2 linked regions of the Astyanax mexicanus genome follow. The protein of the gene in region 1 binds, or shares a complex with, the protein of each later gene. Links are inferred from orthologs where the notes say so. Each region holds a gene or a part of one and is shown on either strand. Other genes may lie near its edges.

Region 1 (3,757 bases):
AAAAACTATACTATCTATAAGATGTTTACTCTATTTTTTAGTGAAAATATAATATAAATAAATAAAAGAAAACATAAAAATTCATTTAAGTGAGAAATACATAGTTTAAATTAAAATGAGTTAATTATATGAATAAATTGATAAATAAATAATCGAGACATTATTTAATTAATTATTTAAACGTGAATATTAAGTGTATTTTATAGTTCTTTATTTGTCATTTTCAGGGATAGTAAGTCATTATTTTGAGATAATAAGATCTGAACATAATGAGATAATATCTATCTATCTAAAAATAATGAATAAGTTCCTTAACTTATTCAAGGACACAGACAGATTCGAGAACTGTTTTTTTATTACACTGCAAGTACATATTTATTTATTTTTATATTGTATATGTTGCACTGTGAGATGAGCTCCTCTAATTTCACTGTACTTGCTATAGTCATAATAAAATGCATTCTTTCATTTATTCATTAACTCGTTCATTTAAAATTATGACTTACTATGTCAAAATACTGAGACAGCAGTTACTTAATAATAATAAAACAAATGTGCTGGATTTATTTTATATTTTAGGTGGCAGGAATGGGAATTCTATTCATAGATATCTTATATATATATACGTATTTGATATCTATGCTTCCATACACTAGAGTCATGTAGAATTGTTAATATTTAACCTCTTTTAATCGATTTAAAAATCATGTCTTCACCCATTGTTTTAGTGGGAATGACTTGTAGATCTGCGAAATTAAAAGTCCTGCGGTTTAACCAGAATATAATATTTTTTTTAATAAAGATTTTTTTCTGTGAGCTTAGATATCTTGCTGAGACCATATAAAAATGACTATTTTTGAGTTACAAACTAAATTTGAGATAAATTAAAATTTAATAAGGTATACAAAAACTGGCAAACAAAACCCCGCCTCTTCCCTCTGTTTCTCTGTATGTGTCTGCGCATGCGTCCGGTGAGAGCGGGGGTGAGGGAGCTCGCCATTTTAGGAGCCTGTGAGGATCTGCAGGCTGGAAATCTTACAAATAATAAACGCTGCAGGTTAATAATGTCCGCAGAAAGCGCCCCGGACCAGGTAAATATTCTGTAAATCTGTTATAAAGCTGCAGAACGGCTTAAATTGCGGGTTAAAGAAGCTGTGCCGTTGCTGGGGCGACCGTTAGTTAGCTTAGCTTAGCATACGAGCTATGGCTAGTTTAGCTAGGCTAGCTGCTGGAATTGACTTGCTTGTTTTTGTCTCTGTTTGAGGTCATTTTTAACATTTTTTAGGCATTAAATCCCGTGTAGGACTTATAAAAAATTCATTTAACTGCATAATGTACGTGTTCTTTGATTGGTCTAGGTAGATATTCAGTTAAATAGTTTGTTTGTTAGCTAGCTGAGTTTGTAGCGAAAGACACGCTGTTTTTGGACTGCTGTGATGCGATTAGGCGATGTTTTGACCATTTAGCTTCTGTTTATTCTGTGGTTTATTTTCTAACTTCAAATGCTATGTACTTAGTACTTATATATGGTTTTGCACTGCCTGGCCAAAGAGTCTTAATGGCGTTCAGGTGGCGGCCAATCAGTATTTTCAGCTACAATTTCCTTAGATGTTTTTTCTGCATTATTGGTGCCAATAAATTGACCCTTCTGAAACATATTAACTTTATTATCTTTTCCACGTGGTTGTTTTAACAAATGAGAAGCTACTCCCTGCATCAGTTAGGATTAAATCCAGTAACTTGTTGCCGTAATTATAGTAATTATAATCCAGTTATTATAATGCAGTAATAATAATCCAATGAGAGTCTTTTACCTATTTGCTCAGTTAAGTCAAGTTTTTTTTTTTGCCAGGCAGTGTGTATATATTTCTGTATTGATAAATGTGCTGTATTTTCTGCTTGACATTGTCTCAAAAACTATTGCAATAAACAGTATTACTGTCATTTTAAGGTCATTTTAATGCCACTGACAGCATGTTAAAGATAGCAAAACAAAATTTGCAATTAATCATAGTATTATACTTATTTTTATTTTATTAAATTACTTCAGTTTATACTGTGTATGGAGTCAAAGTTATTGAAGCATTGGTCTGGTATTGCATGACTGGCTAAAATATTGTTCACTGTTCTATACAATAGAAAACGTACAAATAAACGCAATAGATGATATCACAATTATCAAATATCAGGTTGTGTCCATTATTTTACGATAAGTCGATAATGTAATTATCGTTAGAGGCCTAGCTATATTTAAATACATTTTCCATATTTTTCTGACTTTAAGGCACACTTAAAATTCTTTGATCCGGTGCAGGCCACAAACACATGTTAAGTTAAATGCCTTAAATCAGTGTTACTGAAAAGTGGTCCTGAAGGCTCATAGGCTGCCCTGCACATTTTATTGCTTTCCCTGCTTTAACACACCTTCTTTAGCTAACTTAATTGCATCATTTGTGTTTGAATAAGGTAAAGCTTAGCTCCTTGTCACCTTTAGGACCAAGGTTAAAAAAAATCTGCAGCAAGATGCATTTTATTGCAAATTGTGCCTAAACTCAGTCAGTTTTTAGCTTTTGGGTTGATTTGTAGATTTGCTTTGGCCTCTTATTCAGTTTATAGTGCACTTCTTATCTAGCTAGCTATCTCCTCTTCTGTGTATTGTGCTGTTTGTTTGTTTTTTTTTTTTTTTACAGTGGAACTTAATGATGCTAATGTGTTTTGATCTAGTGTATCAGCTATTATAAGACATTTCTAGATTAATGTGTGTTTTGTTTGTTTGTTTTAATTGGACTTTGATCTGCCTTTAACCCCATTTTAGAGATAAATGTTATCACAGTTATTGCTATATCTTTATATTGTCTATCAAAGAATCTTTGAAAATCTAATTGCATTACCTACCTAAACAATTTAAATGAAGGTATGACTGGGCAATATACAGCTCTGGAAACAGTTAAGCGACCACTTCAGTTTCTGTATCAGTTCCTCTGATTTTGCTATTTATAAAGTAAAATGATAAAAAATGATCATATAGCATTCTTGTTTTATTCTATAAACTACTGACTTTTCTCCCAAACTCCAAATAAAAATATTTTAATTTGGAGCATTTATTTGGAGAAAATTGGTTCAGTTTGGTGGTTTGATGGCCTGTGATCATTCATCTTCCTCTTGATTATATTCCAGAGGTTTTCAATTTGGTAAAATCAAAGAAACTCGTCATTTTTAAGTGCTCTATTATTTTTTTCCAGAGCTAAATATATCTTAAAGATCAGTGTGCTTGAAACTGTCTGGTACAAGATTCATACAAAATGATATTGTTTTCGATGTGTGCAATATAATATTGTGTTAAAATGGTTTGGTTTCTGAAGTGGTGACACTCAATACAGTACAATATTGTGCTAATTGTGTCATAGAAACATCAAAACTAAAGGAGCAGCATTGTTTAATATTAATACATTTTTAAATATCCAGTCTTACAAGTACTTTTAACACTTTGTAACCTTATACTTTAAGTTTTTCACCATATTGTGTATATCACCATTTCTCTTAACAATGTTAAGATAAGAGCTATTTAGTTTTAAGGCCCAGTTTCAGAGGCAAGCTACATGAATATTGAGATTTCCAACAGTGTTTATTGCATCTTTTTTTGTCAGTATCATCCATCACCGAGCTTGTTTGATAACTTATTTAGTCCTGCATTGCTTTGTTCAAGTCCTTGTCTCACTTTGACCTTTGGAAAATGATCCATTATAGAGTGGTGTGA
Region 2 (3,757 bases), on another chromosome or scaffold:
AATCAATCACATCACCAATTACTCCATAATGCACTGTTCTACATTCCTGTTACCTTAGAAATATAATCATACATCATTATCATCATAATTAATCAGACCATTGATCGCATCATAACTTATCACCACATGACCAATCACATCATGATCAATCGTAATCGTAATTACCTCACACCATAATCAAATCACAACATAATCAACCACATTAGGTCATAAACGATCGCATCATAATCAATCACACCATAATCACATCGCAATAAATCACATCATTATCAGTAACATCACACCATAATAAATCAAATTGTAATCAAATCACATCATAATCAATCAGCAACAAGGGAAGAAGATAGAAGCTAGAATTTAGGCTACAGCTACACTAATTTAATAAAAACAGGCTAAACTAATTATTTGAATTACCACACATAAGAATATTAATTATAACAAAGCAGAAAACTCTTTCAAAATAAAGGTCTTTTTTTTTGGGTGAAAAGAGATTCCAAAAACTTACATTGTGTTCAGTGTCCATACATCTAATAACTGTCTCAATACGGTTATATAAAAATTAATATTAATATATTTTTTTTTTTACTTATTTTCTTATTATTACATACATTTTATTTTTTACATAAACAATTAAAGTAATTGTGCCTACTTTTGTTTCGGCACTTTTCTGGATATATTTAATTTAAATCTCAACAATGCATTGATTGACTAGAAAAACACTGTGTACACCAAACTTCTTTTACAGAAAACAGGTCGTTTCCTACAGGTTTCTTTAAATCTGAGACTCACCGATCTTGGCGAGCTGCATGAGCTGCTCTGATGGAGAAACCACATTCTGGGGTTTCACTTCGTTTATCAGGCTGTTGGCGATGTTGGTGTATCCATCATACAGCAGCTGACTGATGATCAGTTTATACAGGTGCTGTCGGTCTTTCAGTGTCGGCTTTGGGCGATACATCTCTCCAACTTCCTAAAAAAAACATCAAAAATCAAAATTACATATATTTTCAATATATTTTTTACATGTGCCATTACAAAAACATCATATATTACTTACAGTAGCATTAGGATGCACTAAATATGAAAATTCTAGTGCAATTTCTAATATATTTAATACATATTTAGCATGTTTATATTGGTGAAACCTTAGACATATATCTGGTTTGTTTTATTAACCACTTGATACATGCCAGTTTAATCAATTCATATTAGAAATATAAGAAACTGGCAAACAGTCAGCTAGGCTAGGCATTATTGTTTGGGTTTTAGAGATAAAACTGCTGATAAATAACCTCAGGACGAAGTTAAACACTTCATAAAATGCTTTATTTTTAAAATTATAAATACTAATTTTTAGAGCCTAAAGCTGCAGCGTCTGTAGCAGCGAGGCTAACAAGCTAACTAGCTAAAAGGCTAACAGCAACACAGCTGTTAATGGTTAGCTTAGCTTAGCTGATTGTTAGTTATATCATTGTTATATAGAGCTCTGGAAAAAAATAAGAGACCACGTAAAAATGATTATTATATTCTAGAGTTTTTCAATTTGGAAAAATCAAAGAAACTCTAGATGAAACTGAACTGCTTGAATTTTTGCACGAGGAGTAAAGCAGCATAAAGTTATCCAAAAGCAGTGTGTAAGACTGGTGGAGGAGAACATGATGCCAAGATGCATGAAACCAAAACTGTGTTTAAAAAACAGGTTTATTCCACCAAAAATTGATTTTTGAACTCTTAAAACTTTATGAATATGAACTTTTTTTTTTTTTTGCATTATTTGAGGTCTGAAAGCTCTGCATCTTTTTTGACATAATTTCAGCCATTTCTCATTTTCTGTAAATAAATGCTCTAAATGTCAATATTTTATTAGGAATTTGGGAGAAATGTTGTCTGTAGTTTATAGAAAAAAACAACAATGTTCATTTTACTCAAACATAAACCTATAAATAGCAAAATCAGAGAAACTGATTCAGAAAATGAAGTGATATCTTCATTTTTTCCAGAGCTGTATATCTAAACGCTTCTTAAATGAAACTATTGAGAAAGCTAGGTTAGTTAAACTACATAAAGTATGAAATGACCTTTATATATTTAACAGAATAAGTGATTTAAAGAGTTTAAGTATTTATTCAGTGTTTGTAGTTAGTTAGCAGGTGTTAATTAGCTACTAGTAATTTAGTTACTAAGCATTAAAAACAGTAATATTACCTAGATGTAGCTAATAAATAATAATATTAATATTCCTAATAATTCCACCACTATTTACTAGGGATAATAAATACACATCAATATCTTGAAGCTAAGCTAAGTTAACCCTTAATTACTGTGTTGCTGTTAGCCTGTTAGCTTGTTAGCCTCGCTGCTACAGACGCTGCAGCCTCAGGCATTACAAAATTATATTTCAATTATACGAAGCGTTTTATGAAGTGTTTAACTGCGTCCCAGTCCTCCTGTGGTTATTTATCAGCAGTTTTATCTCTAAAACTTAAAAATAAAGAAAGAAAATGAATGATTTACCTCAGCAGGCTAGCTAACGCCAGGTACCGCACCGCTTTACACTGTGGAACTGTGGGAAAAACCGCCCGCTATAATAAAAGTCCCCTTCCCTTAAACTTGCCCTTAACTTAAATCAGTGTGTTATTTCAACGCTTCTTAATGAAAGCCTCATTAAACCCTTAAATCTTTCTTTAAATATTAAATTTCCTTTAAATAATTGTCTTAAATATTGCATTTTCCTTAAATAATTATTCTTAATATCAAATTTCCCTTAAATAATTTTCTTTAGTATTAAATTTCCCTTGAATAATTATCCTAAATATCAAATTTCCTTTAAAAAATCCCTTAAGTATCAAATTTCCCTTAAATAATTATCCTTAATATCAAATTTCCCTTAAATAATTGTCTTAAGTATTATATTTCCCTTAAATAATTATCCTAAATATCAAATTTCCCTTAAATACTTTTCTTAAGTATCAAATTTCCCTTAAATAATTCTAAATATCAAATTTCCCTTAAATACTTTTCTTATGTATTATATTTCCCTTAAATACTTATCCTAAATATCAAATTTTCTTTAAAAAAATCCCTTAAGTATCATATTTGCCTTAAATAATTATCCTAAATATCAAATTTTCCTTAAATAATTTTCTTAAGTATTATATTTCCCTTAATTTTCTTAAATATTACATTTCCCTTAAATAATCATCTTAAGTATTTAATTTCCTTTAAACAAAAATCCCTTAAGTATAAAATTCCCCTCAAATAATTTTCTTAAGCATTATATTTCTCTTAAATAATTATCCTAAATTTCAAATTTCCCTTAAATAATTTTCTTAAGTATTACATTTCCCTTAAATAATCCTTTTAAGTATTTAATTTCCTTAAAAAAATCCCTTAAGTATAAAATTCCCCTTAAATAATTTCCTTAAGTATCACATTTCCCTAATAATCCCCTTAAATAATACATAAATATTCGTCATATAAAATAAGTGTTGCATAAAGTCCTTTAAAGATCTATTCCCTTATAATAATATTTAAAGAGGCACTAAACTCTAAATAATTTTCCACATTTTAAACATACCAGTTTTTTTCCGCATATTTATCTTTCTACAAATGTCTACTGTTGTTGTTAGTAATAATAATATAATATAATAACAGTGTGGTGAAATCAATGCACTTTTGGGCAATACACTGACAGCGTCTGGAAAAAAAAAGATTCGAGTAAATAATATATTGAGTAAATAATATATATCAATATACT

The links. Proteins that work in one complex are often made in the same cells at the same time.
Region 2: the proteins of cstf3 (region 1) and cstf1 are in contact, whole or in part, in a crystal structure (PDB 6B3X), measured with the Homo sapiens proteins. The link is inferred for Astyanax mexicanus from reciprocal best matches to the Homo sapiens genes CSTF3 and CSTF1. Residues at the interface, in NP_001317.1 of Homo sapiens: Tyr581, Pro582, Lys583, Pro584, Asp585, Thr586, Gln588, Met589, Ile590, Pro591, Phe592, Pro594; in NP_001028693.1 of Homo sapiens: Arg118, Glu216, Ala217, His226, Pro227, Ser228, Asp230, Phe231, Thr240, Arg242, Leu243, Tyr244, Cys251, Phe252, Val253, Ser254, Cys255, Tyr270, Ser272, Ser273, Ala274, Asn275, Gly291, Val292, Ser293, Asn294.

The regions. Positions count from the first base shown.
Region 1 is NC_064416.1:4,694,189-4,697,945, reverse strand, and holds the start of cstf3 (cleavage stimulation factor subunit 3), read left to right. Parts: upstream 1-964; 5' UTR 965-1,064; coding exon 1,065-1,091; intron 1,092-3,757. UniProt on the Homo sapiens protein: One of the multiple factors required for polyadenylation and 3'-end cleavage of mammalian pre-mRNAs.
Region 2 is NC_064431.1:32,787,585-32,791,341, reverse strand, and holds the start of cstf1 (cleavage stimulation factor subunit 1), read right to left. Parts: upstream 2,600-3,757; 5' UTR 2,515-2,599; intron 971-2,514; 5' UTR 959-970; coding exon 790-958; intron 1-789. UniProt on the Homo sapiens protein: One of the multiple factors required for polyadenylation and 3'-end cleavage of mammalian pre-mRNAs. May be responsible for the interaction of CSTF with other factors to form a stable complex on the pre-mRNA.